3 linked regions of the Oryzias latipes genome follow. The protein of the gene in region 2 binds, or shares a complex with, the protein of the main gene of each other region. Links are inferred from orthologs where the notes say so. Each region holds a gene or a part of one and is shown on either strand. Other genes may lie near its edges.

Region 1 (10,954 bases), on a different chromosome or scaffold from region 2:
GAACATATTGAAATTCACTGGATCTGCACATATAAGGAATGTGGGTGTGGTTAGCAAACAAACTTCGTTGCTAAGGACATCCAAAAGTTTACTTTTTCCGATTTGTCTGAAAATGACGTCGATTTGTTCGTCATCCCCAGGCGACCCAAACATAACATGGTTGCTATGGAGATAAAATCAATAGAAAAGCCGCCATTTTGAAAAAAGTGGATTTTCTATCAACTTAGAACATGTAGCTTTTACCAATATGATACTCTCAAACAATGTGTTTTTTGAGTCAGTTGATGATGCTGATGCTAGCACTTTTAGCCATTTTAGCATCATCTTCAAATTTTCAACAGTACATCCATTTTTTTCAACAATTTCAGCTTTCATGCTTAACTCCCGTCTACAAATTTTGACCTGTTTTGGTCATTCTACTTTTACAATGTTCACCTTTGACTTTTGGTCCTTTAACTTTTCAAAATATTCCAGGATTTCCAGGACAGTTCAGCCATTTTTCCAACATTTTCAGCTTTCATGCTTAACTCCTTCTACAAACTTTGACCTATTTTAGCCATTCTACTATTACAATGTTCAACTTTTTCAGCTTATTCCTGCTAGGACTTTTGCACCTTTAACTTTTCAAGGTTTTTCCAGTACAGTTCAGCCATTTCTTCAGCTAATTCAGCTTTCATTCAGCAGTACAGCATTCAACCCTGCATTTTCTTCTGGAAATGCAGCTCCTTCTAGTTTTCTTTTTTCTTCATAATTTTACAACTTTATTCTCGTATATTAATATTATTTTTCTTTCACAGTGGCACTAATACTACGTCTTACTAATAAGATGATATGTCCCTGAAATGTTACTTCAAAAAGAGATTAAATTAAAAAAAACAGTTTAAAAAAAGAAGATGTAAATTCTGAAAATATGTAATTTGACTTTATTTTAGAGTGGATTTAAATTTAAAGTATACATGTTGAAAATAAGAGTAAAAATTGGATTAAAAAAATTTGGATTAAAAAAAAAAAAAAATCGAAACTACCCAGAGTTCATTGCAGCAGGAGTTTAGTCTCCTGTCCTCTACAGTGTGTGAGACACTGGTATTTGGTCAGTTTTACTCTGAAAGAGGCATCATATAACCACAGAAATTTATGTACAATTGCTATTAGTCTAACCATTTTTAACAGCGAATATTAGCTAATAACAGCCTGTTATTGATCATCATCCCCAGGTTATCCCATGGTCCGGGTGAATACTCGATTCTGATTGGGTGCTGGGTGTGCATTAAAAAGTGATATACCACAGGATAACCGCACGGTGAAAAAAGAAGTTCCGATCACATAGTTTAAACGTTCTTTATCACTGCGCTGGCTTCTTTAAAATTTTAGCTTAGCTTCATCATCTGGACAAAAACAAGCGGTAAGAGGTGAACTTTCTCTCTGAACTGATGCTTTATTCAACTCATCGTGATGATCAGCATAAATATATAGCCGAATCTTGACTGCAGCGGTGGTGCGGCGCAACGCAGACTATTTGTTACTTTTTGTGAGAAAAGCGATCCAAATCGGAAAAAAACGAGAATTAAGGACTAAAAACTGGTCAATATTTTTATTGTTTTGTAAGCGGCCATGGTATAAGCGGGTTAATGGCCGACGAAGTGTGCATCATCACTTTTTAACGCACTTCGCAGAAGCAAGCGTCCTCCGCGGTTCAGGCTTCCATGGCGTGCGTTAAAAAGTGATGATGCACACTTCGTCGGCCATTAACTCTTACTTAACACCTTCAGGTGATGAATATTAGAAAGTAATAACAACCTGTCTATGATGAATTTCACGCTCATCTTTCTGCAGGAAGGGCTTTGTGGGGTGTGGGTTGGCTGTGCTTAAACATAGTCAGTGCAGCAGGCACTTTTGGCAAAACAGAAAAACCGTATCTGACGTGACTTGAGGGTTGCTCCCCGACATTGGGACAAAGACTGGTTTCACATGAGCCTCGTCATGGCACCAGACAGGAAGTCCTCGTAGCTGAGCCGGACGTTGCCCGTCATGCTTGTGTCTTTTTCTCTGAACTGCTGCGTCATGGTCTGAAGCTGGGTGCACACCTGGATGAAGCGGTCCAGCTGGATACCAGGACGCACGCCTCTAATGGTGAAGCGCTGCACCACAGCCTCAGAAAACTGGGGGCTGAGGTTGTAACCCATTTGCACTAAAGCTGTGGAGGAAAAAAAAAAAAATCAAAACGAGGATTTAGAAGGCAAAATGCAGGGCATGCTTTGCAGAAAGTGGGGATACCTTGGTGGAGCTCAGTGCCGCTGATGGACCCTGAGCCGTCTCGGTCGTACTGCTGAAACAAAGCTCGCCATCTCTGCATGTAGTCCCACAGAGCCGAGAAGCCGTACAAGTCTATCCGCCCGGACCGCGTCCTGTCGAACATGTCTGACGGTAAACAGTAGCACAGGAAGGAAGCGGAGAGAGAGAGAGATTGAGAAAAACAAGAACTTTAGGCTTTTTAAAAAGCATTTAAGAGAGTCCAAACAAATGCTTGCTTTAAAGACCCGCTCTGATGAAAATGTCGATTTTAAAATGTTCTTGCTGCATTTTTCTAATGATGGAAGACAGAAATAAACTCCCTGCTCCAAGGTCTTTACAACAGTGAAGGGAAGGGGGGGGGAGGTGTGCTTGCTCTGCGCCAATCGTCACGCCCACAACTCAGTTGCAAATTTCTGACAAACTCCTGCTCCTCTGCAGAAACTATGTCCTAGAAAAAGATTTTTGCCTAAAAACGGCATCATCATACCTAAAAGACCACAGAACGCTTTGAAAATGGATCAAACGATAATCAGAAAGGAACTTTGAATATCATTCATAAAACTGCTGAAACAGTGTCAATCTTGCTCACTGTCCGTTTCCCACCACCATTAAGACCTGCCCCCTCCTTTCATTGCATCCCTTCAAGTCATTTTCATTGAATTTCATGCAGCGGTGGGACTTACTGATCATCATGAGGCAGGTCTCGTCATTGAAGGTGGACCAGTTGGAGTTGACAAGCGCCTGCTTCAGCTCGCTGTGGTTGATGAAGCCGCTGCGGTCTGTATCAACACTCTGGAACCACTGGAATGCCTCGGGGTTAACCCCAGGGGGCGTGTTAGCTACACGGAGGGGAACACGAGTGACAGATGAATAATAATAATAATAATAATAATAAATTCACATCACAGACTCTTTATATTTGTGTAGATTTTTAAAAAAAAAGGGGCAAAAAAAAACACTCCAGCAGAGAAGATGCAATCATGCCACACTGCTAAACAATTATTATCTTTCAGACGAAGAAAAAGCCTTGGAGTGACAGCTGAAATGATGATCCATATAGACAAGAAAGGCTGTGTTTTGTAAACTGAAGAGGGCGCAGCCTTTAAGATTAAAAAGTCCTAGAAAAAAAGTGGAAAATAACAATTTTCTCCACATACAAAAAATAAAATCTGAGTTTTACTTTGTTAACGTCTGATTAAAAGTACAAAACAGATGTAAAGAGTTTCTAATATCCACACTCAGTGCCTCTGAAATTAAGGGAAACATGTAATTAAAGGTTTTTGAAAGATCAGCCCGGGAAAAAAACGAGTCATTGTTACCTGAGCAGACGGTAAGAAATGAAAGGAGCCCTTCAAAAATATGCTGCACAAAAGAGCGATGGCTGATTGTCAGAAAAATAAATGGGCAGAGATGGTGAGATGACACTTGAGGCCAGATCGTGATGGATTCTGTCCCCGCGGGGAGCGGCGGTAACACACGCTACCGGCTTCAGACTTGGGCTTAGTTGCCAATGGAAACTGTAATTACACATAAGCAACCCGCACGATCTGCCCATCTGTCTGTCGCCCTGTTCATCCCTCACTCCAGATTACCAGTCATCAGTCCAGCTATGAAGTCCTGCTGAGGGACAAAAACTGTCTGGGAACCCAAAGCTTTTTCTATCTATTCTTTCTGCCAGGTAGCAAAAAAAGACGAATGAGAGACAGAGTGTTCGTTATTGAATCCCAGAAATTCCCGTTGAGTCGATTCCTGCATCACTCTGGAAAAAACTCTTTAGTTGCAGTTCATTCTCACCTGCAGGAGCCCTGTAGCCGCCGTAAGGGCCGCCAGGAGCACCAGGTCCATAATGCCCACCCTGACTTGGGGCTCCATAGCCACCATAGGGACCTCCTGGTGGCCCCGCAGCACCTCCATAAGGACCAGAGGGTCGGGACCCATAGGGGCTGCTACTTCCATTGTACGGAGCTCCAGGTGGGGGATTACTCCCTCCTGGATAGCCCTGGAAGGCAAAGGAGATGAAAAGAAGCAGTAAATGAGAACGTGAATCAATACGACGATTATAAAGGTTAAAATGTATTCCAAAATAAAAGCATCTTTGTTGATATGAAACTGTAAACAAGCTGGTTCAATTTATGTTTCTGTTACACGTTTTATTTCAATATTTGAAAATACAGAAGAGCACATTATGATTCCACACATTATGAAAAATAATTATTCTTGACTCGTTTTACTAAATCCACAAAATAAACGACTATAAATTAACAAAAGGATAACCTAAATAAATAGAACACAAGCTCATTTTTTCCCAATGGGAAAACAACTAAATAAATTGCTTTTTTGGATAATCAATCAACTGCAAAGTTAGGTTTTACTATAATATAAAACAAAAACTGAAAAACAGCAGGAAACTTATCAAAGTCCAGAACAGAAGTGTCCATGCTAAAAATGATTCGGTCAAAGACTTGGATTAACAGATGACATATCTTCAAATACACTCGATTCTATTGTTACAATGATTTGCATTTATGAGTGAAATATGTTTTCTTAAAAATAAAAACGACACTTCTTCGAACTCGAAGCTAGCAAGCGTACTACTGTGTGACGAATGCTGACAAGGTAACGCCCTGCTAATGAAGCGAAATGCTACAAAGATTTAAAAAGTCTACCACAAACGATACCATTAAAATACATGAAGATGAAAGAAACAAAAACAATCAAAAAAGTTACAATTTCTGTACCTGACCGTAATGGAAACTCATGATTTAATTTTTTCCGTTGAATGACTCCACTTCCGCGAGGACCAACGGGTCTCAAGCCAGGGTAGGGCTCCTATTGGGTAATATCTATGTCAATCAACCCCACATTGTTTAGCGCGGCTGCTGATTGGTTAAAAAATAAAAACCCTTTGGCCACAGCGAGACAGAAAGCGTTTGTTTTACCCTCCCATTTTTTGACGTCAGGGTGATACTTCAACAATGAGTCACTCATCTATTGCGCTAAAAAGTTGATTTACATAGAGTATATTATTTTGAAACCAGTAAGGGAAGAATAAAGATTTTATTTTTGTACAAAATATTAGTATTATTCCAGATATAATAGCTGTGAGGAGAAAATGAATGTTTATAGATTAGAGACCAGGCCAGAAGCTTTTTTTTTGTGAAAATTTGCTAATTTAATGGGCAACTTTTGAATGTTATAGTTAGATTGGAGAAGAAAAGGGAGTCCACCGAGTTTAGAAAATATATAGTTTGGAATAAAATTCCATAAGGAATCTGGGTTGCTAAGAAATTTCTTAATCCAATTGATTTTAAAGGTGTAGTTTAAGGTGGTGAAATCTAAGACATTAAGTCCTCTGCGTCTATATTGTGTTCAAAAGCACTTTATCTTTAATGTAGTGAGTTTTATTTTTCCAAATAAATTTGTAAAGCATTTTATCAACGGTTTTACATGTGGATGCGTTAACATTGAGGGCAAGTGCTGGATATGTTAATCTGGAGATTCCTTCAGCTTTGGATAATAAAGTTCTTCCTCTTAAAGTGATATCTCTCTGAAGCCAGCGGTTAAATCTCTTTTTGGTCTTTTCAATTATGGGATTAAAATTTAGGTTTCATCTATCCTCTGTGTTTTTAGAAATCATAATTCCAAGATAAGTAATTTGTGATTTTACAGGTATACCATGTAAAACTGAGTGATCGCATTCTGAAATAGGTAAAAGTTCACATTTATTTATATTAAGTTTAAGGCCAGAAGCTTCTGAGAATTTATGAATAAGGTTGATAACAACGGGAATTTGATCTGAATTTTTCAGAAAAAGAGTGGGGTCGTCAGCAACTTGACTCATAAGAATGTATTTATCAGCGACTGAAATGCCATGGATGTTATTTTCCTGGATGAAAGCTGCAAGCATTTGTGCTGCTAGCAGGAATAAATAAGGGCTCACTGGACAGCCTTGGCGTACCCCCCTACCCACCTGAAATCTTGGAGACGTACCATATTTAAGTTTTATTGTACTGTTAGAATTATTGTAGAGAGTTTTAATAGCTTTTATAAAAAATGGTCCAAACCCAAATTTTTCTAGAGATCGATAAATGAATTCATGTTCTAGGCAATCAAAGGCTTTATAAAAGTCCAAAAACAGAATAAAACTATTCTCATTTATTAGTTCGGAATAATCCAATAAATCCAAAACTAATCTGATGTTATTAGTAATGTGTCTATTAGACATGAATCCTGATTGGGATTCGTCTATAATAGATGTTAAGGTTTGTTTAATTCGTTTGGCTAAAATTAGAGCTAATATTTTGTAGTCATTATTAAGTAACGAGATAGGTCTCCAGTTATCAATTTGTAGTTTATTTTTATTAGGTTTGGGTATTAGTGATATAACACCTTGTGTTAGAGTAGGGGGTAGTTTTCCCAGATTAATACTTTCAGTGAGCGTCTCCAGGATAAAGGGACTAAGTTCTGTTGAAAAGTTTTTGTAAAATTCACTTGACAATCCATCATTACCGGGAGATTTGTTCTTTTTTAGAATCATTATAGCATCTTGCACTTCCTCTAAGGTTATACTGGCATCACAGAGTTTTTTATGTGTTTCACTGATAATCTTACAATGTTTAATAGAATCTAGTAGCTCACGCGTTTTAATTTCTGAGTAATTAGAAGAGTAAAGTTTGTTGTAAAAGTCAGAGCAAAATGAGCCAAGAATTTTATGATCTGTTTCAATTTTGTTGTTAATTTGAAGAGACTCAGGAGGGTGTTTAATGTCATATAATCAATTTTTGACCACTTATAATATTCCAGTTACCCCCAAAGAGTTTGCAATAGTCATGGATGCTATTCCTAAAGGCGTTATAATGTTATTTAAAGGTATTGTTCACCCTTTGCCCTCACATTCAGTCTCTTTATTTGAAACAAATATTGGTAAGACCTGCTTTACAAGAACATCTACAAGAAATAAAAAAATAAGATCACTGTTTCAGAAAGATATTGCAGTTGTACCATATGTGACCCACTATTGGAGAAAATTTGCCCCAGATATTGAATGGAAGAAAGTTTGGACTTTGTCCTCTAAATATTTTATTTCAAATAAACCCCGGGATGTTTGTTTTAAACTTCTTCACAGATGCTACCCAGCCAAATCCTCACTCCACATAGACATTGATAAAAACTGCTCCTTCTGTAAATTAGACACTGAAACAATTATACATCTTTTCTGGAAATGCCCCCCAACAGCAATTTTTTGGAAAGACTTCACCTCCTTCGTTCGATGTAAAGTTTATGAAAAATTTGATTTGGTATACAAGGATGTATTATTTGGTTTTTATAGTGTTAATAATTCACTAAGAAGGGAATACTATTTAATTAACCTTTTGATAATACTAGCCAAATTCCACATACATAAATGCAAATTTTCTGAAAAAAAGCCCTTATTCAAACTTTTTATGATTGAGTTAAACCAATATATCAAAGCAATAAAATATTCTTCCAACCCCAAAGCTATAAGAACGTTTGAAACCCTGGAATTTTTTAAATGTACAGAATAGCAACTTGCTGCTTTTTCTGCTCTTATTTATATTTTTTTTTTTCTCTTTTGTTCTTTATGCTCCCCTGGCACATTTTGTTACTCTTTGTTTTGTCTGTGTACTTAAAATTGACTTGAATTTGTATCTTGTATATCTTCAATAAAGTTAAAAAAAAAAAACTCATCTATTGCGCCTGAAAGTTAGGAGACCTGCTAGGCTGTAACTACAGTATTCCAAAAATCCCTTTGAAACTGTCAAATTTTCATCAACAGGTTCTCTTAGCCTGGGCACTGATCTGCAAACACAACTTTTTCCACAGAGTTGTATTATTTGCAATACCTGTAATATTGTCTATAAATACAAAACTCTGTTTTTAAGTAACTGGTTTAATAATGGTATAATTTTCCTCAATCAATTATTCAAAGAACCAGGATTATTACATAACCACTCAGAATTCACAATGCAGTATAAAATACCAATAACCCCCCAAAAATTTGCAGTAGTGTTTGATGCCGTACCGTCTGGGCTTTGCATGTCATTGAGGGATTTCTACAGCGCTCCTCCTCTAAATCCTCCTGATGCATTTAAATCTCCTCTGGGTAGTTTCTGCTTCACTTCTGCTAAACAGAGGAACTCAAAAATCAGAGCTTTGTTCCAAGATCATTTGGTTTCTGTTCCATTAGCTACCTTTTATTGGGCTAATTTCCCTTCTAACATTGAATGGAAAAAAGTCTGGTCTTTACCATAAAAATACTGCTTAACAAATAAAATCAAAGAAATGTCTTTTAAACTCCTACACAGATTTTATCCAGCAAAACATTATTTAATTAGATTTAATGCTGACATAAACACCAGCTGTACTTTCTGCCAGAAACAACCTGAAACCTGCTCTCATTTATTCTGGTCTTGTGAATTCACATACAAATTTTGGAAAAACATTCACAAATTTATCACAGACTCTATTTTTGTTGATATACAACTTTATTATAAAAACATACTATTTGGTTTTCATAGTTTTGAACTCAAAGACCGTGATGCTTTCTTTTGTATAAACATGTTGCTATTTATGGCTAAATTTCATATTCACAAAAGCAAATTTTCCAATAAAAAAACCTGATTTCTTTGTGTTTAAATTGGAACTGCAGCAATATTTAAACTTAATTTCCGCTTCAAAAAATATAAAAGCTCAAAAAACATTTGTAAATCTTTTGGACTACTGACATAAGTTTACTCTTGCATTTTCTCTTTTTTTCTATGTGTATTTCTTTTTTCTTTATGTATTTTTAATTTTTATTCCATTTTGTGATTATTACTATTAATTAAAATCTCCCTAAGGATGTAACACGTTTATTCTGTATTTAGAATTGTAATGTACATTATATGTGCATATTTGTTCTGTGTGTTGCAATTGTTCAATAAAAAATAAATAAATAAATAAAAATTCCTCTCTTGCGCAATTCAGTAGTTTCACAGCCCCAAACGTCAGGATTAGTTTAGTTTATTTACTATTTTTTTTGTTCTGTGGTGACAAAGAACATAGTAATTATACTACGGTATTTTATAATTATGAAGTATTTGTGGAATACAAAAATATTGACACACTATGTTTGGATACATCTTTATAGGTTACAAAAATAAATACAAAATAAAACACATCAAAATATATTCTATTTTTTTTAAAAACATTTACTCTTTAGATGTGATGATAACTGATAAAGCAAGTATTGATGATTTTAAACCTTAAGTACAATATATTACAAAAACAAAAATGAAAGTTGTGATTTTTTTTTGAACAAGAGGAAACTAACTTCAAAGGATTCTTATCTGAACTGCTCTATAGGAAATATTTTATTTTCGTCTTTTACTCCCAGAGGGCAGAATGTGTGTTTGAAAGAAATTAAAACAAAGTTTTACTTTCTATTCTTCAAAATGACTAAACAGCTAGCAAACTTTACATCCAGATAGGCTCTCAACTCACATCAAATACAAAAATGACAGAAATTTTACAGACGTGCATTGTAATCTAAGTTTTGATTACTATCTAATATTTCAAAAAGAAATCTCTACGAATAACTTAAGTAGCCTATAGGTGTAACTGACTTCTTTGTTTTCTTCCAAGACCTTAGTTCCACACACTTTCGGTCCTTTTCAGGTTAACTTTCCTCATTTTTCTCTGGGACTCTCTCAGTCTTGATGTTGGTGAGGTTTTGGTTTGAGACTGTGGGATCAATTTTATGTGAAGATTTGGATCTGAGGTTTGAGTTTGAGGGTGACAGTTTGTCCATTTCGTGGGACATCGGATACATCCGTCCGCTCCCAAATACTTTCTGTTTAACAAATCTTTTGCCCCGTTTGCAGATGAGGTAAGTCATCTCACAGATGCACATGAAGATGCAGATGGCAGAGGAAACCACCATGAACAGTGTGAAGATCTTTTTCTCTGTTGGACGGGATATGTAGCAGTCCACTGTGTTAGGGCAAGGTTCCAGGGAGCACTTGGTCAAGCGAGGTAAGTCGTAGCCGTCATAGATGTAGTAGAGGATGTAGAGAAAGCCTGCATCGAAGCTTGCTTTGAAGATAAGACTCACCTGTGGGAGAGGGTGAATGCAGGTTAAACAATTCATCCAGGGAAATGAATAGACTCATTTCAGTCGTGACTCATCAGACCTCAGAGCATTTAAAGGGATGAAACAGCTTGTTACTAATCTCTTCCGTCTATTCTTTTATTCAGCGAAGGTGAAGTAAATACTGATTAACGGGTAAATCTACAGGAAGTAAACATTTGATTTGATAAATTCTTTGTTCTTACCAGGTATGTCCACCAGAGACCTCCTTGTTTCTTTCCTGGGTTTTGGTACGGATGTTTGCCCTGGTTTGTGGCAGTGGACTGCGCGTTCTTCTTCTCTCGATACTTCACATGTCCAACGACCATCAGTGATGGGCAGGTGACAAAAATGAGCTGCAGGGCCCACAGGCGGATGTGAGAGATGGGGAAGACCTGGTCGTAGCACACGTTCTCACAGCCTGGCTGCTGGGTGTTGCACACAAAGTCCTTGCTTTCATCCCCCCACACCTTCTGAGCCGCCACGACAAACACCATCACCCGGAAGACGAAGACCATGGAGAGCCAGACCCGG
Region 2 (11,060 bases):
AGAATATGTTTAAATAGATTAAATAGCCTTAAAACTGCATATGACATATTTAATAATAATGTTTCAAATTTACATTATAGGGGATCATTTTTGTAAATAATTTTCGAAAAAGTTCTCCTGGAAGCTATTTCTTTTTTTTAAACTTTTTTTTATTTTTTTTACTTATTAAACTTTTTTTTTTTAGGGCAGAACGATGCCAAACTTTATTGCAACACATCAAGCTATTCTGCCTGTAGTCCACTAAAGTTAGATGTTTCTGGTCAACAGTTGTGGTGCTATTGTCATATTTAAAATGGACTATTTCCTGACTTTTGTACTATTGTCAGCCTTTCAGTAACTTAAGAAAGAATAAAGGGATTTCTATGTACACTTTGAAAAACATAATCGGCATAAACAAATGGTGGGTCTTTACGTTTTGAACATAAAAGAAAAACCTCAGATCACAGCAAATTATGTGCGACTGTTTTTGAATCAGCAGTCTAGTTTCTAAAACAACAGAAATGACAGGACGAACAATTTGACACAAATGACGCTCTATAAATCATCGGGTGATAATAAGCAGTGTTTTCACAAAGCAATGCATGGGGTTTGGAAAACAGGAATTTTCTGAGTACAAAGGCAAACTTAAATCAGGTTCACTTCTCTACAATTTCACTGTCAGACCAGTTAAAAAACGGAGGGGGGGGGGGTGACCTCCATGAGTTTACTGCAGGTTTGTGCTCGCTTTACTCTTGTCTTATTTAGGTGTTGACAGACAATAGAAAACTGTGAAAGACGAGCTAAATTCACGCCAAGCTAAGCCAGTCCTGAGGAAACGTAATTACAATAATGACTTCTTCAGTGGTGCAGACGATTGAGGTGAAATGGGCCGTTTGTGGCACTCTTTCGCCGAAATGTTTCGGAACATCTAAGAGTAAAAAAGTAAATAGTAAATTTAAAAAGACGGCACAAGGCTGCAGACATTTGCTTTCCTTACCTGGATTTCGTCACATTTTATGAGCTTTTCAACTTCTGTCTGACTCAGCAGCATAAACTCCTCGTGTTGAACCACCTCAGAGAAATGCTTCTGTGAGAAGAGCTCAGCCGCCTGCATCAGGTCGAGGCAGTTGTGGGTTTCAGCAAAATCTCGAATACCCAGACAGTTGGAGGGATCCAGCTGGCTCTCCAGAAAGTCACAACAGGCCCTTTTCACTCCTGAGGGAAGAAAAAGAGCCAAGCACAGTTGACAAATTCACTTTAAGTATCATTTCAAGGAAAACAAACACAACAAAACAGGATTTACACTGTTTATTTCGCATGTCTGACAATTTGTGAAAAGACAATAAGACTAAATAACTTTAACAGACTCCTAATGACTTTATATTAGAAGACAAAGACAACTAACTACACCTTTTAAAAGCAAAATAAAGAATCTTAAATGTGACTTTTGCGCACAATCAGACGTTGCAGACAACCAAAAAAGTAATGGTGATGCAGACTCCACAGGTATGAAAGCCTGCTCACATATGATGCATTTTTAGTTACTTTGGTCAGTCAGGACATTTAAAAACAAGACAAAAAACAGAGAAACAATGTTTCTTTGGTCAGTACAGTGTTCCTTGCTATATTGTTCATCTTTGTGTCTCTGCTTGGCAGAATGTTTTGGTGCATGTTTGAGTGTCTTTTTATGTATTCATTTTTTTAAAGAGCAAATTGTGTCCTGCTTTCTTCACATAAATCTTCAATGGCAATCAGATAATTTTATAATCCTGGACTAATTTTTCTATAAAGATCTGAATTTTGAGAGTTTAAACAAGAGACACAATTGTGAAAATGTTCACGTTGTCTGAGAAAAGTGAAGAAAGTGTGTAGTGACAATCTATAACGATTGTAAGAAAAAGACTAATGTTGTCGATTGTGGGCTATTATTACAATGCAAGTCTTGTGATAAACGAGGGAACATTGTACTGATGTTTAATTAAATTCATGTTAATGTCAATTGATTAAAACGTAAAAATCCAAAATTAAAATGTGAGCTTCAGGAAAATAGAATTTCAAGATGTAAAAGCTGCTTTTTCTTTTTCTTTTTTTTTTAACAGCGGCTACTTTCTGCTCCATAGACACAACAAAGTTATAGAAGGGTATAAACTATATGTGGAGCTGCAAAAGTTTCAAAAACATTCAAATGTTCCTTAAAATGACAGAACTATAGGTACAAATGTGTTCTTTGGTAAGGCTAGACCTTGCAATTGTTCTTCTGGGTTCCTGCAAATCATTTTTCTTTTTCTTTTTCACTGGGATTTCATTTTTAGTCGCTTGTTTTTGGCATTTAACTAACATTTAAACTTCTAAAGACTATAAAAGATGTTTGTTTTTTCAATAAATAACAAAAAAATAATCTTGTCACTTGAAATTATGAGATTTACTTGTGAATGTTTCATCCATCTTAAACAAATATGGAAGGACTTTATTCTTGTTTTGTTTCTAATAAAGAGGTGTCTGTTATTCTGTTTTTGAAGTTTACTCCAAATACAAATACAGAATACTAAAAACAAACTAAAAAGAAAGACACACGTCTGGGTACTTTTAAGAGAATTATAAAAAAAAGTGAATGTGTCTTATACCTCTAACCCCAATAATGTTTTTAACAACATTTATTAACTTTCTGTGTGTCCTCCATCTCTTTTTCTTGTATTTTATCAGTAACAGCTCCTAGCAAGTAGAGCCAGCCTCAGCTATTTTATTTCATGTCTGTTGCATTAGACAGACGATAAATATGTCACTATAAAGCCTGTTCTCTGGAGAATCTTTATATTTAGCCATTAGAACAGGCATTAAAATTACCTTTCAGCTGAAGCAAACAGGCTGCAGGGAGTAATTCTTGAACATTTTCCACCGTGACAAGCACCGTTTCTGTGTAGACGAAGTCCAACAAGATCTCCATGGTAGATGCAGTCAGTCCTTGAATGTCAACAAAAGACTTCCCCTTTTCTGCAAGCTGGAGGACCAAAACAAAGGCTTAACTGGATGATTTTTTTTATCTTTAAGCTGTAATCCTGTACTTTATGGAACACATAACAGATGTGGGGCTAAAAGGGCAAAAACTAAGAAAAAAAAGTCACTTTAGAAAGTAATATACTACTTTGAAAAGTTTTATTGTAGTTTATCTATATTCAGAAAAATGTTTCTCATATTTCTGAGACTGCCCTCAAGTGGCAGGAGCATGCTACAGTATCTTTATCACATTGAATCAAACTCTTTTTGTTTAGTTTAACATTTTTTTTAAGCAACATTACTCAAAACTCTGAAACACATCAGTTTAATCAGTATAATGACATAAGAAGTACATTTGACACAGATGGTGAAAAACAGGGATTGATGATCAGACTGATGAAGATGACAGACTATTACCTCACTAGTAAACATGGCACAGAAATAGTCACTGCAGGCTGCCAAGACAATCCGATGGGCGGGAAAATCTGTATTCTCAACCCTCAGAGTGATGTCGCAGAGTGTGTTACTCTTGCGAAGCGAGTTCATGGCATTGAGAATGGATTTGGCGTGGGAATTGGTCATGATGTCTTTAGGAGCCATGTTGCTTTGAGAATCCCTCAAGGACCTCAAACTTCCACAAGAGTCTAAAGGAATAAATACAGAAAATCTCTGTGAATACGGCATCTCATTGAACATTCTCTTTTAACAATGTGCTCCTGCAGCCTTAAAAGACATACAAAAACAACTGACACAAACAAAACTGCTTTAATCAACGTGTCTTTGACAAATTGGCCGTTTTATTATTTTAAATATAAACGTTACAAACATTCGAAATATAAAATGTTAGTGGCTTAAAGGGACAAAGATGATCACTGTTCAGACCAGGAGTCTGCAAACCTTAATGCTAAATAAGTCATTTAGTCCAGTTCTTACCAACCAAAAACCACAGAGAGCCGCAAAGTCCCACTTCATTGTTTAGAAACACTTACTTAGGTTTTTGTGGTCATTAAGCTGTTTATTTATAAAAAATAATTTTTCAGTAACAATTTTACTTCTATTACTTTTAACAGCATCACATTCAAGTCTCTTTCAAAATAAAGTACACCCTAAGTTAAAAAAAAAAGATCCTCCTGCTGCAGCAGGTTTACTTGGATCAAAAATGCATTATGTCAAATTTGACATCTGACTTTAGTGCACCATAATCCTTTTTCCTCTTTTATCATTGAGTATCAACATGACAACATTGGTGTAAAATCCCTTTTTTAATGCATACATACACGTGAATCCAATCATATACTTTAAAGACTGTATGAACAGCTACTTGCAGCAGTAGATAATAGGTGCTTTGATCTAAATTTAGTAATAAACCACTCTGACACTAGGATTTGGTAAGTTACTTGACATGTTAAAAGTTTAAACATAAGACTTAAATAACTAAATCCAATGAGTGAAACTACAAACCCATCTTTTAATGGTTAGCATTTTCTTATAAACCACGATAGAAGGATTAAAAAAAGGGCTTAGGAGTATGATGAATGAGGCTGAAGACAAAAAAACAGAGAACCAAGGAGAACAAACGTACAGTAAACACTATCAAGCACTTTCATTCATTTTTGAGGCAAGCAATTGTCTATATTTAGTCGGCCGCGGCAGACTAGCTAATTTATATTAGTATACAACTGCAGTGTCATATAAAAATCAAGAACAAAAAACATTTTTATTCACTGCAGTTTTTCCCACAATACCCGATAACAAAAGACCTTCCCCGGTTTATAACCACGATATTAATGTTAAATATGATCCCTATTAACACTGTGACTTTAGTATTGCTAAAACAACTTACCGTTAAAGGACCTGAACACTTTTTCCACCACTGGGAGGCAATAACTATAGCTACACATGGGCTAGCTAGCAGCAGTAGCCAGCGACAGCTGATGGCTAACATAGACAGACAGAAACTTTGGAAAAGAGAGCCACATGAAGTACACTGACGGCCAGAGTGAGACAGCACATAAAAGCGACACACAGTAAGAACTTCGAAAAATTGTGCGTAATACCTGTCACTGCGGTAAGGCTGATTCAACCCCTACACCTAAGTTGCTTTCCTAGCTACTGTACTAGCCTTAGCATCAAAGTCTGTCGTCCCAGCTCGTGCTGTCCGAAAAATAAATAATTACTCCATCACGGCATGATTTAAGTCAGCCTACATGCGGCTTCTGGAAGGACTTTCATGAACGAAATGTTAAAAAAGCCCCATGCTATGGCGCTAAGCGGTGTTTACAAGCAACACTTTCGTTGCTCAAACTGAAGCTTCGACCCCCTCAGATTGGACGTAAACAGACCGCTACGTAAATGTACGTGCGCGCTCCCCGTCAAGCCGGACGCTCTTCTTTCCAGAAACAAGATGCCTTCGGCGCGCACTCGCCTGTCTGTGTTACTCCTGTGGGGGTGGTAAAATGACCGCTTAAAAAGGGGAAAGAGTTGCATTAAAAGTTAAAAATCGAGTTACATCGCCAAAACAGCCAAAAGCAGTTGTTTTACTGGAGCCTAAAAACTCACTTTACTCTTTTTTAGCCACCAAGGACGTCAGCTACACGGTAGGAGGAGCTAGCAGCGTGTTTCCGCTCAGCCGCGGTATAATCTATGCAGCCGTACTAAGAATCGCAACGGCCAAACACTTGGCAGCTAATACAGGAAACTGTTCAAGTTTCATTCGTTTAATCTTCGCTGTGTTGTCGCTGTCGCATCATTGAGGAGAACAAAAAGACTGTCCGCTGGATCGTAAGCAATGGAAGCCGAATTTTTAGAAATCGATGAAAACGGGAGTTGGAACGCCATTTATCAGGTAGGAACTCTCGACATGTCAAGGTGGAAAGCAGCAATGGGTGAAGCTGTCACTTTTTGAGCCAACATTTTTCTCACTTTCGCCACGATACATGAGCAGAGTCGTACAGTTCAGTCCCCGTGTTTCTCCGTATATTTTTTTTAACTAACCGCCGGCTTTGTTCCCTGTGTGGCCGGTCCATGTTTTTTTTTCTTTCTTTTTTTTCCGCTTGGTGCTCGGACCTTTTTTTTGTTGATGGATGTGTCTGCCCGGGTCCTAAACCGGCAGCACGTCCCATGAGGCAATTCAACACATGTCATTTTAAAGCTTTAAATTATTTTTGCACCATAGCTGTTAAGTTTATGACACTTTCAGCGTTTAAAAAAGCATTTCTCAGAAAAAAATTATTCACATTATTATTTGAGAAGGATTGATAACTGTTATATGACATATTATTGATCGTTTTTTCGGAGTATTCACACACTTATGCAGTTATAAAGGACAAAAATGGCACCATTAACATTTTGACAATGTTAAACAAATGTGATTGTTTTTTTATCTTAACAGGAGATTCGGCAACAATCGTGTGAACTTCCCTGTAAGATCGCCAAGTTACCCGAAAACAAGAATCGGAACCGTTACAGAGATGTCAGCCCCTGTAAGTAACGCCTCACACATCACAACATTACAGAGTTTTTAGATGTTTCATTTAGGGGTATGTAATTTAATCTACAGCCAATATCAAATACTATAATGTTATGTATAGCAGTGTTTATCAACACATCCATCTATTTAGTCAGTGGTTGCATCATTGGTAATAATGGCTGCATTCACCAGCTAATATAAAAGTAACTGATTGAACAAAATGTTTACCTTAGCTTCTGATTAACTTACAAGCTTTCCGTCAGCCTAAATATATACATTGTCCATTTAAGTATAAAAAGTTCTCTTGTTTTACTCATACATATTAAATATAGATGGGTAAATTCCAATAATATTAGTTAATTTTGAACAGATTACCAAATATTTTTGGTGAAACTAATCAACCAATCAAAACTGTCTTTAAAAAAAAAATCATTTTGGAGGAACTATTCAGACAATGCATTCAAAATGTATTATAATAAATGAAATATAACCTCCCAGTTCAAGAGCTGAACTTCAGTGGTTTCCTCTTTTTCACATTAAAGAAGCTATGCAAATTGTGAAGCATATTTTTGCTGTTTGTATTCCCCACCTTTAGTCAGACGTGAAAATGGGGAACCTGAAACCAGTTCACGCTGTTTTCAGTTGTGCTCTGAGGTTCTGTCGTAGTCACAACGCTCACTCTCAGTTCAGAAACTCCGTGACCGCTCATTTTAAACCTTTGGAGAGCCGTGTTTTTTTACCATTTGTTGCTGATTTAGAAATACAATTGGACGTCCTTCTCCGCAGTTGACCACAGCAGAATATGCCTGCAGCTGGGTGCAAATGACTACATCAACGCCAGCCTAATAACAGTTGAAGAGGCACAGAGGAACTATATTCTTACTCAGGTATGGAAATATTCCCACAGAGTTAATGTCAAAATGATTACAGCCATGATAAAAATATCTGTTTTAACAAGACTGATATTACAGAGCAGGAGTTTCCTTATTCCTTAACAAAAAGTTTAGCTTGGATTGTTTTAAGGATGTCAAGAAGCTTTTATCCACTGTCTAACATAACTGTCTTTGTATTATTTCTAGAATCTATAGTATGTGTGTGAAAGTAGATTTTAGACCATTTTTAAAGCATTGTAACTGATAATAGAACAGGAAAGTCAGTAAGCGTGATTTAAGGCGTCCTGCGTTTAGCCTGTGTACATATCTAGAGACAGACGTGCTGACAAAACGGCAAAAATGTTAGATTCCAGTCACTTGTCAGTAACGTAATGCGACATGCACCAAACAATGGTTAGAGATATGTTTCCTCTTGTGTGAAAAGGAATACCTGCAAGGGGCTGCTATGGTTCATAAATCATTAGGGATGCACTGAATACTTTAAAACTGAATATATTTCAACGAAAATCGCAAAAGAAAAATAAAAAATAGCCACATTCAGCCTTTGGTGGGCTCAAAGTTTTGTTACTTAATGTGCATCAATGATCTTGTTTATTGTGTAAAATGTAAGTAGTGCAGAGGTATTTTAAGAACTGCAGTTTGCAGCAAAAGCGTCCAAAATTTCTCCAATTTTTATAAATATAATGAAAAACTCAACATCCACCTTTTATATTCAGTAACTATTTGGTGTTCGGCCAAGCATTTTCCTTTCTTTGTTCTGCTTCTGTCACAATTTTTTCATTTCTGTGCATCCCTAATAAACATACTTGCTTTTAAAAAGTCATGGCGCTACTGTCCTGGAAACAAAAGCGTGTGAAAAATGCAATGTTTTGCCCTATAAATGATGGTCACACGCCTGAAGAGTTTCCATCTCTAGTAGGAATGGTCTAGGCTGGCGCATCAGCGGCATGTCTTCTCGTAAAGGATCATCTACAAAGGCTCGTATTATTATTTATAAGAGAAAATATGTTTATTGCAAAATATCAAAAGTGGCCGATTAGAGGGAGGTGGAGTTACTTGGTCTAATTGCTGCTCTGTGATTGGTCCAGAACTTTCTAGTGTCAACAAGACTTGTAGGTTTTTTTTATGATCCCAACAACTAGAGATGTTGTGTAAAAGCAAGTATGTGTTGGTAAAAGTTTTTGGTTTATGGATTGAAACATAAAATACTTTAAAATGCTTTTACATTTGAATAAAAAGGACTAAAAGAGGGGAAAAAAGGACACATAAAAAGACCCTTTTTGTGTTGGATTTATGAACATTTGATTCCTTTTAGACAAATACAGTGAGGTTTTTGTTTTTTTTGTATTTTTATGTGATGAAAGCTCTTGGAAACATTTCCAAAGAGGTTTTATGTTCTTATGTTTTGAACAGTCTCAAAGATAAAGCCATAAGTGGTTGAAGCAGCTTTTTTTTTTTCTTCTTCTTCAATTATTTTCTTTTTTGAAATAAAACTTCTTGGAAACTACTCCAAAGATGTTTTATGTTCTGAAAAATCCCTAGTATAAATATAAAGACAAGTGGTTAAAGCAGCTTTTTTTATTTTTAGGGACCCCTTCCAAGTACATGTGGTCACTTCTGGGAGATGGTGTGGGAGCAGAGGAGCCGTGGCGTGGTGATGCTGAACCGAGTCATCGAGAAAGGATCTGTAAGTTGGTGTTTTCCTTCATCCACAGTGGTAACCGGAGCCCTTTTTCAGACACTAGAGCTGAATCACATGGTCTGACCAGGAAAGGTCACCACCTGGATTTAACCAGGCATTTTGGGTAATCGTTTCACCTCAGAGAACGGCTGCACGGATTATGTTTCAACTTAAGTCGAGTTATTAATTTGACCCCAAGTGAAGCAGTGAGAAGCTTCTGGTTTCAACAGAAAGAAGGGTCTAAAATATTTGTTAAGTGGCTTTAACAAAAAAAAAAACCCCACTGGAGTCACGCTGATCATTAAGGAAAAATGCCAGTTTTCTAAGAAGATGAAAGATTTATCTCCAGGGAAAAAGAAATGAAGTGATGCTGTCTGATGGATCCAGAAGAACCTGTTCCATTGGGACGGAAGACGCGCTGCAGTTGTTCAGGTTGAGGTTCAGCATCATCAATAAATGAGGTTGTGATGACAATGCTTCCAAAGATGACAATGCAGGGATTCACCAAATCCTTTCTACTCATGAATTGAGCTCCACTAAGTCCAGACTGTGGAGAATCCTTGGGATGTGTTTGAGAAGACGGCCTGTTGCTTGATGGAACTCAGGCAGGAAGAAATGTGACTTTGCCGAGGTTTGTCAAAATGATCATGGGGAAAGACGGCTATAATCAAAGCTAAAGGTGGTCCAGCAACATATGAATGGTTTAGTCAACCTGTTTCAAACTTCATAGACTGCTGTCCATCAGCCTGAAGATGTTTCTTTGCTCAAACTCAGCTGGCTGTCATTATCGGGGCTCTGCAGGATTTCACGATTCAGATGCCGTTTAAGCTTAAGTCACATGCACCTGGACAGGTGCTGCCGGTTTTTGGGTTGTCGGCGTGCGTAGAGGGTTGTGGCGGCTGCATCTTAAGGGGAGCACAGGTGTGTCGTGTAGTTCCCTGGGGGGACATCATAAAAACGTATGACTGCCTTGTGGTAAGTGTATTGGGATGTATTTGTAAGGTAAAGGTAGTTGCATGACTCAGACAACAGGTGATACAGATGCCCTTATGCCACACTAGTCATCAGTAGGGTCAAACACAGGCCACTTGCTGGCTGCGCTCAAATGCGGCACGCATGGGGTGTAGGTAAGTGCCTGTAGGACTGTAAGTCTGTATCCACCCAGAAGGGCAGTTGTGGTTTCCAAATTTGACAGCCAGTGAGTCCTAACATGGTTCCCCCTGGATTCATTAATTCAACCTGTGGAAGTTTTGTCTTTGCGTATCTGTGCTAGATCAATCGGTAAAGTTTATTCACAAAGATTATTTAGATTTTTAGAAATATTACAGCATGTTATCATGACATTTTAAACAAGTGTGCAGAGCACTTATTTGTGTAAAATGACGAATGGCAACGCCTCAAATTGTGTTTTCTCTATCATTTCAGCAAGTTTGATTGTTTTAGCTGACACAGCTAAAACAACTACAGCACAGCTTTGGAGATCTAATCACTGGTTCCACCTAATCAGATGCAGGGTGAAGGAAAATGTGGACAAAACTGTAAAATCTCCTTCTAGATATTAAAAGCAGTTTTTCCCAATAAATACTGGAATAACGGTTATCGTTCATCTTCCCTGAGAATTGCACTGCTTTTCCTTTTTCCTGTTGTTTATCTTTCCTTGCCATGTGGTTTCAGATTAAATGCGCCCAGTATTGGCCCTACAAAGAGGAGAAAGATGCGATCTTTGAAGACACCAACTTCAAGCTGACGCTTGTCTCAGAGGACGTCAAGTCTTATTACACAATCCGTCAGCTGGAGTTAGAAAACCTGTCGGTAAGTTTTCTGCCTCGGTTTATTGCCCATTCATAAAACACATATGGTTGCACAACTTATATTGACTGCAAAAAAAACCATTTTCTCTCTTAAAAATAGGATTTTTGGTTAAACCTCTGTAATTTTCAGTGAATTTCCCGATAAAAATGTTATTGTGAACTATCGTTATTGCTCCCTAAAGGAAAGTTTGTGCTAGCTTTCTATATTATTGTCATTTGGGAGTTAAGATGTA
Region 3 (10,972 bases), on a different chromosome or scaffold from region 2:
TTTTTCCCCAGATAAATAATATTTTCAATTTGTAAATACATTTAATCTACCAACCTTATCAATTTGTAGCTGAGCCAGTTCTCCGGAAAGAGACTGTAACAGCTTGTCGCACCCACACAGCCTTGTCAGCACAGCCTGAAGAGCAAAAATCCGACTCATCTTTTCTCAAAAAGAAATGTGTCATTCATTTTTGAAGGCTCCACTGCATTCTGGTTAATTTCCAGTCGTGTCTTAGGCAGACATCACTCACATCTGCATCGCTTTCAAGTGGACGGATTGGAAGCAGTTCCCTCGGGTCCGGATTTGAGGCCTATGAAATTTTAAAATGTATTGTTACAGTTTTTTCTGAAATTTCTATCATTAATAATACAAATGTGTATTCGATAAAGAAAAACTTTATTGATTTTTTTTAGAGAACAGAACACAAGCTGCACAAACTTGAGTAAGCCACAACCACATTTTAAGTTTATCCCTCAACAAATTTAAGGAAATAAAATGAATACAACTACTAGTAAATACACTGAATTCAATTACCGGTACATCCTATACTTCCAAAAACAAAAAATGTGATTAGGTTTTAATAATAAAATAAGATTAGACACAAAATATAAAATAAAATCTATTTTAGCACAAAGTAGCATTAAATTGCACTGAACATAACGGCACGAGAACAGAGCACAGATCAGCCAGCATGTCTGTACCATAGCTGCCGGTAGCATACAAGCAGATACGAAGCTGCGCTGGTGGTGTTGTTGTGGGTGAAGAGCATGTGCAGCTCGTGATGAGGGGGGTAAAGGGGGCAGTAAGTCTGCACCAGTAGAGAGGCTCTAAAGGAAGATACAGCAAGTATATAAAAAGAAATCCTCTCATGCTTGACTGAACGTACTGTGCATTTGTGCAGCGTAAGTTAAAGCATGTTTGAATTAACAGTCAAATTATGAAATAGCTGCACAATTTCTGAAAATTTTTGAATGAATGTCTTTTATATTATTGCATTATTTTAAATAGTCACCTTGCCCAGAGGCCTTCGTCCACTAGCTGCATGGTGGACAGCCCCGTATATGGGTGCAGGCTTTGAAGAAAGAAATAAAAAACAATCAATCTGATAAAATCGTAAAATTACAGATATCTTGTAAGATTTATTTCTTTTAAATTTTTTTTACTTTGTACAAATATTCAAAATGAAGAATGTGCTTTGAAGAATGCTATAGTAGATGAAGTATACTGAATTAAAGAGTTTTCTTAACCTAAGTTGTGCAGAACAAGTAATTTTTCAAGCTGCCCACCTTTAACATATACAAGCCTTTTTACCACATTTTCAAGTCTCTGATCGATTAATAAAGACATGTTTAGCTTTTTATGGTACATTAGATCAAACTTGTACATATTATGAAACTGTCGTTGAACCATATAAGGTAGCCAAACAAAGTAACAGCAAGAAAACTTGATTCAGTTTTTGTGTTTTCCAAACTTCTAAAAAATAAGTTCTCACCTTGGTTTGCCACCTTTCAGTGACTGGAGTGGTTGGTGCAGATTTGTATTCTGGCTTTGGTGAGGCAGGTGCATAGTACAGGGTCTGCTGCACAATAACTGGGTCATCACGGGGGCGAATGTCAACGCGTCCCATGGGCGTATGAGGTCGTGACCCCAGCTGTCCTCTTGATGTTAAAGAATTTGCTCCACTGATTTCTGTTGGCATTGCTGTGTTTTCATCAGGAGGAGAATCCTCCTCCATGTTTGGACCTGCAGCTCTTCTGCTTGAAACTGTAGGGCTTGGTGTTCGGTTTGAAGGGCTGTGGAAAAACCAAAATATGAAAATTGAAAGCAAACTTCTTTTGCTTTGAAGTGGATGATTTGTCATCCGCTTTACCAACCTTCTGTTTCTGTGATGGATGTTCCGCCTGCCCCTCTGCTCCGAGTGTGACCTCCCCACTCTTCCACCGAGGTGGCTCGGTTCACTCAGGGTTCTGCTGACATGCTTGTGTTTTTGAGAGGGACTCAGTTCATCTGAGGGAGATTTGGGAAAATCTACAGATTCTGTGCTGGCACTGATCAAGGTAAAATCCTGATAACTCGAGCAGCGCCTGTAAGGATCAAAAACAACAGAAGGTTTGTTAAATAACAATCATAGACATTCTCTTTTATCAAGGAAAAAAAAGTCCCCCTCACAAGCGTGAGCTGTACCTATTAATTGTGGCATCCAACTCCATTGCAGCAGATTGACTGAGGGCTCGAACCCAACCCAACATGTCCTCCTGAGTGTCAGCACTGAAGAAGTAGGAGCGCATGCCCTGATGCACCACCTTTAGGACAGATGTACAAAAGAAAATAGGCTAAATGAAACTTATCACTGATAAAATACATGTTTGCTGCCCCGCGCTCCAAAAACTACTCTTATTTGCAAATATTTGCTTAAAGTTACCTATTGATTTTAGGAAAGTCTCATAGTTTGCCTGGTTTGGCCTTAGGTTGGCCTGATTATTGGTCAACCTGTCCACATAGGTCTCACAGCAGCTGGGGTAAGGATTTTAAAATTTGGATTTGCAGGATTTTTACCCAAACTCCAATTGACTTACAGAGCATTAGTTCGCCTGTAATAATGGATTCTCAGAAAACATTTCCACCATGAAACATTCCTGACTCATGCAAAGTACAGTAGGAGCTCCACCAAGAGTTCTCAAAATATCCAGCAATATTTTATAAAAATTAGGAAAACATTTCAAGACCCATAAAAAGCGTGAACTTTGCAAACTTTCTTAGCTTCCAGGTTTTAGAGCTTCACAGCCTTGGGATTTCTAACGCATACACATTTAGCATGGACTTTGATTCCATAACAATAACAATAATAACATGCAGGATACCTTGAATGTAAACTTTCTGTTTTTGCATTCCCTTGGTGTGCAGAACAGGATTTTGTAGCTTGGTAGAGGGATGCTGCCCAACACCGACTCTTCTCGGCTATCTGAGGACACAAACGCAGTGTGAAGAAAAAAAACATTGTTCATAGTTTTTAATTAAGATAGAAACATCCAGCTGTCACCGCTCCTACCTTTATAGTAATAGAGGCAGTAGTTTGAGAGCACAAACCATCTTCTCTTCCAAAGCTTCAGACCAGAGCTATCCTGCCAAAAAGACAGTTTTTAAGGTAAAAATACAATATGGAAACTTTCAGACTGTTTCACATGAAATTTGTATCATTGTATGTTTCATTATAATTATTTAAAAAATGTACTTTTTTGTTTAGCCATCCCCTAATGACCACAGGACAGTTAGGGTCTCTTTTGGCAGCCTGACATCTCTTCCCAAACGTTTGAACCTTTCCATCGTTTTCCTGTTTACAACATGACACAGAATTAAAAGCACACAATGACACTTGCATTTTCTTTAGAATAAAACAAATTCAAAAAAAGGAAAGCAAACCGTCATGACAGGAAAGTAGGAAATTGTGGCCACACTAGATGCTTGGCTCACTCTGTCCTGGTCATCCATTCTACACAAAAACATTCAGAAAAAAAGTGTCAAGGAGTGAAAAAAATTCAGAAAAGTGAACAAGAAAAATATTTTTTCTTAGTTGCCAAAGATAGATGAATCAATTCCCCTTTCTAGCCACATGTGTAATAAAACAGAAGTTCCTAGCAGGACTTAGCAACAACCCCCAGTTGCTACCCATATACCGTACAGTAGGCTTGTTTTTGCAAAGATATAAGACCTTACCAGTGCACTCTCTTCTTGAAAAAGCAGCCAGTCACTCCCAGCATTCCCAGGAACATGCATTGCATTCCCATAATGTTGAGATTTCTTTTCTTCTTGTTCAAAAATTCATCAATTTAATGTGGTGCTCTCCCACTTGCTGCAAAACTCTCCCACAATTCTATTCTGAGCCATAACAGGCCAGCGGACATCCCCACCATGGAACTGACAGGTGACAGCTGCGTCGCCGTGGTAGCAGGGAGGGGCCCCGAGTGTGTGAAACTAATCTGGCAGTATGGGGCAGGCTGGTATGAAGAGGCAAGGTCCGAAATGTTTGCTAGACTGCAGAACTACATCGTGTGGATGGAAGAACTAAAATGAAATTGTATGCTGTGAGGACAGAGAAGTCGCATATTGAGTTCATGTTTTCTCTTAAAATTTAATCAGCTTATTTGCTATAGTTCCATTTGTCTCATACATTAGGTATCTGTCACTCCTATATTCATATATAGGGATAATTTATGTGAAATTTTTCTGCCTTGTTCTAAAAATTAAAAACTATTCCCCAATAAATGTAGAAATATAACAATTTGATAAAATGAAACAATTAAAAAATTAGTCCAAGTGAATCTATTTTAAAAAGTAATGTTATTACCTACTGCAATTGTGAAAGAATATTTTGTGAGGGTAGTCAATAAGCACTCTATTTAAAAAAATCTGGACTCGGTCTGATAAGAACCGGATTATGACAACTATGTCAAAATATGAAATGTAATAACCCAGTAGGGGTAGGATTGTGTTATTTTGTTTCTTCCCACTCTTTTTCAAGCAATAAATCAAACTCTACTTGACTTTAGTTACATTTGATGAATCGAATGTAACCTAAATGTGTTTTTTATGTATTACTGCAAAAATCTGTATATATGATTACCAATATTCCTTCTTTGTTATATCTGTGTCATTTTTTTGTTATAATGACTACAATTAATACTTCAAATAATCAAATCAAATCAAATCAAATCTTGAAATTTGTGCTTTTTTGACCTTTGTGACACACAAATGAACCCATAGATAAGAACATCATGAGAGTTTTCCCACACTTGCCACAGGGTTTGGTAAGGTTTGGCATCAGCAGTCTGAGTCTAAATCAACCACAATCTCCAACCCGCAAGCCTCGGAGTAAAAAGGATAACAACAATCGCCTCTTTGTGAGGAATCTGAGGCAATGAACATCTCTGAAGCTGCTGGGGGTTCTGTGGGTGTTGGGAAATATTCTGAAAATCTCCTCCTTGATCAGAGAGGGTTTCTTACTGAGAGAAGTTGGGACTTAAAATGCTAAAGAGGGATGTTGGGGAGGACAAACGGAGGGTTTGTGTATGACACAGAGTGAGCTTTGTGACGCCCGAAGACTCTGAAATGTCATGTGAAGCTGGACAAGGATTATGTTGAATACATTTGCTGGGAAAATAATACTTTTTGTCTAAAGCAAACATTTGCATATCTTTGACTATCTCACAGTCAAACAAAAGGCCAAAATGAAATTGTCCCTTATGAGAAAAAATTGTGATTTGAACACCAATCCACTGTTAAAAATAATAATTAATGATTTTACACAAAGTAAAATAATAATAAATGAGGAAGTACAGCCTCACATGGAAAAAGGGTGCCTGCATTGTTTCAGGCAGAGATGATATATCATATCAGCACCTTTGCTTCACAGTACTATGAGATACAAGCACCAGGAACACAAACCAACTAAAAGTGGTTAACAAAAAAAATGAAAGATAAGTTATTAAAAATGACAATGTTGATTATTTTAAAAGCTGCCATAAATTACCATACCTTAATAGTTTAGCTCTCCTGCTGTCTACTTTCAGATCCATCATTGGTTTTCTTCCTCACAGAATCCTCTGGTATGGCTGCCTTTAAGCCCCTGTTTGCCTTTAGGCACAACTCTCCTGTGCTATTCTTTCCATGTACTGATGAAGCTGTCTGTCTGCAGCAAACAGTTTGACTTTCTTGAGATGTGGAGTGAAATGGGTGTTCTACCTACGCTCCTTTGCTTTTCTGTTTTCTAACAGTGAACTCTCTGTAAGCCTCTTTCTCATCATTCCTTCTTTGTCTCTGTCCCTCCCTCTTCTACTCTGTCTGCTCCTGATAATCTGTTAAAATGAAGTTCATCTTGTAAGAACTCTTTTCAAATTATTTATTTATTTGTATTTGTATTATTTGTATTTTTCTGTTTGCTTTCTTACATTGAGTTTAGAAGTCATGGTTTTCCATCAGAACATGAAAAAAAGGACATTTCGTTGAAATATTTTCTTGTTTTTAGAGGAATTTGACCTAAAATGCTGTAAATTTGAAATTGGGTTTAATACTTATTTAACATTTGACATAGTTACTCATTAAAAATGTCAAATATTTTTGAAAAAAGTAAAGTTTAAACAAAGATCTCTAAATTTAAACTGGCGACACTATAAATGAACTGTTTAAATAAATGTTTGTCTTTTCAGTCTAAGTAAGCTTTTTGAGATTTATGTTGTCTTCGTAGAGATTATTAAACTCTGGACTCATTAGTATTCAACTGCAACCTCCACTGACCAACTCCCAAGGGTACAAATCTAAATGCAGAATTAGTTTGCTTTACTGACAAAAGGTAAACACAATTAAGAATAAAAAGTTTTTTTCTTAATTACAGACGCCTTGTTTTAAGTTTTTTTCTATTTTTTTTTTGCTATGTGAATAACTGATGAAGAAACTTTTAATAGATATGCACTTTATTTCATTCAATGAAAACTGTTACAAACTAAGTTTTTGTTAGAACACACTACACAATATAAAAACAAAGTCCTTGTTACGGCTGTGTCCGTATTTGGCCCCAATGTTTTTACTGTACGTCCTTCATCTGCATGTAGATTTTGTTAATGTAATTTTTTTGTTTTATAAAAGATTTCAGTGTATTTATGTCGGTCTGTCTCCTTCTTGCTCTCTCATTGTTTTAGTAATTAACTGATCTCTTTTGGCTTGAATTAATTCTCCTGTGATTTTAAGTTTCTTTGCTTCATGTTCTTTCACTGCTGTAATGACTAACATATCTTTTCTGCTCTCTGGATTTTCGGTCCGTTAATTTTACCCTGTTCTGTCAATGCTACAGTTACTGATGTCAGAACTGATTTTCCACTGTTTTTGTGCTTATCTGTCTCTTTTGTCAAAACCGGTTAGGGCAGATAATTGGTCTCACATAGCCTGCTTTTCCAGGAGGTTTCTTTCTTTTTTTCATTCAGAGGGAACTGTACTCTCCATTGCCACACCTTGTTTGGTTACTGTGAAGAATTACTCCAAAAACCTTGACAGGTATATAGACTATGATTAAAATCATTAAAAGACAACATTGAAGTTACAGGATATTTGTCCCATGAATTAGGAACTTGTGCTCCTGAATATGTTCATCACACAAATAAAGGGGATTTAATTCACTTGACTTGTCATCTATTGTACGGATTAATGTGTTATAAAATACTTAAGTGCTTTCAGTTAAAAGATGTTTTTTTGCCAAAAGCATTTTTTGAGGGGGTGAGAGCAGATAGCTAGCAGGCCTCACGAAAGCAGGCATTACCAAACCACCAGAGGAAAATATCAGAAGCATTTTAAGAGGTGGATAAGAAAAGAGAAGTCAGGTGAAAGGTTAAGTTCTTTCACTGAAGACCTGCCTAGTGGAGGTTAAAACACTGAAATGTTTACAAAATGCGGTAAAAGAAAATGTAATTCTTAGTCAAGTCTAAAATCTGTGCCTGCAGTTTTATGAACCCTTACATATTAACAAAATTCAGAGGACTTATAAATGGTTTTAATTACTGATTAACCTGTGCGCAACCTGCAGATCGGAAACTTTGCCTGTTTAAAAAAATGGAGTTGATGTTTCCTCGCGACCCTGAAAGTGACATAGCTGGTTAAGAAAATGGATGGATGGAATTCATACTAGTCTACGTTTATGTAATAAAGTGGTTCACATCTCACTGTAGAAACATGTTATCAGAACTACAAAACAGTTGTTTATTACAATTTTGACTGCAAAAACAGGAATTGATAGTAACTTTTTAGAGTTAGTAGATTGAAGGAGGAATCAAATTGACTTGAATTTTGATAAATTAAATTTTCTCTTGAGTTTAACACAAAGTCATGTGTGCCTTTATAATAAAGGATCTTTGTATGCATCAAACATCCAATCTGGAGCTCACTCCAAAAGTTAAGGAGTTAAGTACACATTACATACAAGTGAATAGAAATTAATGTTTACATTTGCCTTTAAAGCTCACGTGCCTTGGATGGACCACTTGTATCCTGGATAGGCTTCAGGCACCCTGTGATCTTAAACAGGATGGGTATAAAAAACCGAGAACAGATGGATAAAAGGATTAATTACCTTGACATCCATTCCTCCCTGGGTGTGTCACTTTCATTATCATTCTCTTTGGGTTGAATCGGTGAAGTAAGCTTTAGGATGAAATCTATTTTTTTCTATTTGGCAATAAAGAGGCAAATAAAAAAACAAATACATGGAACTATAAAATCTGGCACTGATGTTTAAAATCCATTTATTTTGTGTTCTTTTTTTGTGATGTACTATCTAAAAATATGCAGCAGGTGGCGGTGTTGAAACATTTTTTTTCATACATCTTCTGACACATTTTTGGTTCCATTAGGAATTCACGTAGCAAAAGTCAGAGTTTTGACAATTTCTACATAAACAAGAAATAATGAACTAACAAAAGTACTACTACCAACAAATGCACGTTTAATATTTTTTTGGGCAAGTAGAGGGAAACCAAGTAAAAAGGCTTTAAAACTTTTAGATTGAGAAACAAACCACTTCAGACCTAGATAAAATCGTCAAAACTGTTATTTTCTCAAATTTAAATTACGTTTGACTTTTAATTAAGTTTGTGGATGCATTTTTCAAAGAACTGTTACAAATTGGTCTCTTGTATAAGCAGACATTTGTTTGTGTTTGGAACATGTGTTTGACAAAAGCAAATCTGCTGAACAAGCACACCGGTGGAAGCAACGTATTATTAATTATGAATCCATGTTGGAATTTTAAAACGCGCAGCAGTACCATCTCTGTTAATCTGCTCGACCCTTGATGGTGGCTGTGTTTCGCCTAAGGATGTCAGCGGGTCAAAAGAGACGATACCATGGGAGGAAATGATACGCTATTTCTGATCCAGCCTTTCAGTGCAAACTTCCCAAGGTGCAGCACAAATGTAAACATCAAACTCGTAAATTTTGTATGAGGAGAAGCTGGTGACACATTATTCATCTAAATTTGTAATTGCAAATTTAGATGTTCGTTTACAGTGCACATGCACACATCACTGAACCCCCCCTGATGACATGTGACACTGCGGTGAAGGTATCACTAGTGCAACTTTGGTCATGGCACTGCCTATGAATTACAACCATTTTACATGCCTGACATAAGTGAAAGCATGCTTTGCTCATGAAGGAACAGCCTGAACACAAAGCTAGGACACGGTTTAAAGTGTGGAAAAAAATCCAGAAATAGATGACAAGAATACCTCCTCCAAATCAAAAATTATGTGTGCTAGGTTGCCAATTTATTACAAATTGTCTTTCCTTCTCGGCATAGGACAATCAACTGTACATGTTTAGCCAGTCTTTGAAAGTTTGCAAAGAAAAAAAATTATATCATAGATACAAAAAAAAGGATGCACACAGTTCACAGTTATTTTTTAGATTTAAAACAAATTAAAGTTGTTTTTCTGCTTTGCAGCTTTTATTAAAAAACTAAAGATTGTTTAAGTCATGATTTTCAAATATTTTTTTTAATATGTATTTTAAAAATCTTTAAAAAACCTAACAAAGTTTTTTTTTTATTGTCAATTTGCTTACATCTCAGGGCAAAAATGTATTTTATGATTTAGAATAATGAAAATAGTTATGTGGACATATTTATATAAAAATGTATCAGTTTGAAAAAAATATTTCAATCAAACCGTGATCAGTTATTTTAAGTTTGATATTTCTATAAATAGATCTCTTTTGTCTGTTTTTTTTCGTGTGTTTTCGTTTTGATTGCTTGAAATATAAATTCCAAATCAAAATCTCACTTTATATATCAAAGTGAAAATTAAGAATTACTTGTTGAGTTTTTACGAAAAGATTTTTTTTTTTAAAAGGGGTGGATTTTGACTCCAGAGGGGTCCAAGGGTATCTGCAGCAAATGGAGAATAGAGTTTGATTGTTTATTATTTCTGTGGGGAAAACGATAGCTGTCAGAGTGCTTGAAATATTGTCACAAACATGGTGTGTGATTGTTTACTGTAGCCTTATTTAGTAAATGTTGATGGGCTTGCCCGGTGAAGGTGACAGCTGCATTGTGAACGCCTTAACAGTTTGCTGTTGTGACCTACTTTCATACAAATTATCTTTGTATAAAGTGTAAACATTAATCGTTTTTTGTATAATTTGTTTTTTAATCACTTTAAAGTCATATAAACATTTATAATTACTTATTTGTACTTTTATATTACAAAAAAAGTGAAATTTTACATATATTAACCCTTGTGCTATCTTATATGACCCCACCCTTACATTGACGTGTTCTCCCTACCATGACAAAGGTGGAAATATTTCATGAAATCCATGGACACCAGTGAGGTTCACTAATCATTGAAGAAAAAAGGTTCAGCGCTCTGTCTAGTGGGTCTAGATGACCCAACTCCCAATGTTAAAGTGCCTAGGATAGCACAAGGGTTAAAGCTGGCATGTTTTCTTTTTGTATTGTTATACTTTCTAGTTTATAGAATAGTTGAAGAAGATGAAGATGGAACAAACTGGAAAAAGTATGCTAATTTTTGTTTTTTTGTTTAAGCACATGCAGATGTTAATTTTACAAAAGACTGTTACTATTTTTTACTTGAAACAGTATCTATTGACAATATACAATCAAAACATATACAGTACCTGATTTTATAGAGAACACTGAAAAATGTCCTTGTCAGAAAAAGTTAAATAATAAAAAATGCAAGATGTTTTTTCAGTTGGTTAAGGGGAAGAAAATCTGCCACTGGAACTAATAAAAGTAAGTTGTGATGTCCTGGGCTTCTAAGCCAAAAATAAATCATGAAATAAATACTATAAATGCTCTGGTAATTGGAAATATGCTCAAAAAAGAGTATGTGTACCTTTTCCCCCAACTATATCTATTTTAAAGTGCTACAACAGTCCAAATATCCTTATTTCTAAAGACTAGAGCAAC

Evidence for each region.
Region 1: the proteins of klhl12 (region 2) and pef1 are in contact, whole or in part, in a crystal structure (PDB 8RBH), measured with the Homo sapiens proteins. The link is inferred for Oryzias latipes from reciprocal best matches to the Homo sapiens genes KLHL12 and PEF1. Residues at the interface, in NP_067646.1 of Homo sapiens: Phe289, Gln293, Arg320, Tyr321, Leu371, Glu417, Tyr434, Ile439, Phe481, His486, Cys511, Tyr512, Tyr528, Leu533, Cys558; in NP_036524.1 of Homo sapiens: Gly15, Gln16, Ala17, Pro18, Gly19, Ala20, Pro21, Pro22.
Region 3: the proteins of klhl12 (region 2) and pleckstrin homology domain-containing family A member 4 are in contact, whole or in part, in a crystal structure (PDB 8OIO), measured with the Homo sapiens proteins. The link is inferred for Oryzias latipes from reciprocal best matches to the Homo sapiens genes KLHL12 and PLEKHA4. Residues at the interface, in NP_067646.1 of Homo sapiens: Phe289, Arg320, Glu417, Tyr434, Ile439, Phe481, His486, Cys511, Tyr512, Tyr528, Leu533, Cys558; in NP_065955.2 of Homo sapiens: Pro177, Gly178, Gly179, Pro180.

Annotation. Positions count from the first base shown.
Region 1 is NC_019869.2:13,797,101-13,808,054, reverse strand, and holds pef1 (peflin), read right to left. Parts: upstream 5,135-10,954; 5' UTR 5,052-5,134; coding exon 5,031-5,051; intron 4,292-5,030; coding exon 4,087-4,291; intron 3,132-4,086; coding exon 2,976-3,131; intron 2,419-2,975; coding exon 2,275-2,418; intron 2,195-2,274; coding exon 1,965-2,194; 3' UTR 738-1,964; downstream 1-737. Other genes in the region: gap junction beta-4 protein, read right to left, coding at 9,971-10,405, 10,627-10,954. UniProt on the Homo sapiens protein: Calcium-binding protein that acts as an adapter that bridges unrelated proteins or stabilizes weak protein-protein complexes in response to calcium.
Region 2 is NC_019865.2:21,837,470-21,848,529, forward strand, and holds the start of klhl12 (kelch-like protein 12), read right to left. Parts: upstream 5,383-11,060; 5' UTR 5,031-5,382; intron 4,932-5,030; 5' UTR 4,875-4,931; coding exon 4,817-4,874; intron 3,618-4,816; coding exon 3,391-3,617; intron 2,978-3,390; coding exon 2,824-2,977; intron 1,195-2,823; coding exon 977-1,194; intron 1-976. Other genes in the region: ptpn1 (tyrosine-protein phosphatase non-receptor type 1), read left to right, coding at 5,762-5,818, 6,365-6,455, 7,229-7,329, 8,924-9,022, 10,691-10,828. UniProt on the Homo sapiens protein: Substrate-specific adapter of a BCR (BTB-CUL3-RBX1) E3 ubiquitin ligase complex that acts as a negative regulator of Wnt signaling pathway and ER-Golgi transport.
Region 3 is NC_019877.2:8,351,899-8,362,870, forward strand, and holds the start of pleckstrin homology domain-containing family A member 4, read right to left. Parts: upstream 5,710-10,972; 5' UTR 5,577-5,709; coding exon 5,533-5,576; intron 3,491-5,532; coding exon 3,421-3,490; intron 3,332-3,420; coding exon 3,233-3,331; intron 3,123-3,232; coding exon 3,050-3,122; intron 2,963-3,049; coding exon 2,862-2,962; intron 2,304-2,861; coding exon 2,185-2,303; intron 2,085-2,184; coding exon 1,493-2,084; intron 1,073-1,492; coding exon 1,013-1,072; intron 828-1,012; coding exon 702-827; intron 311-701; coding exon 251-310; intron 136-250; coding exon 55-135; intron 1-54. UniProt on the Homo sapiens protein: Binds specifically to phosphatidylinositol 3-phosphate (PtdIns3P), but not to other phosphoinositides.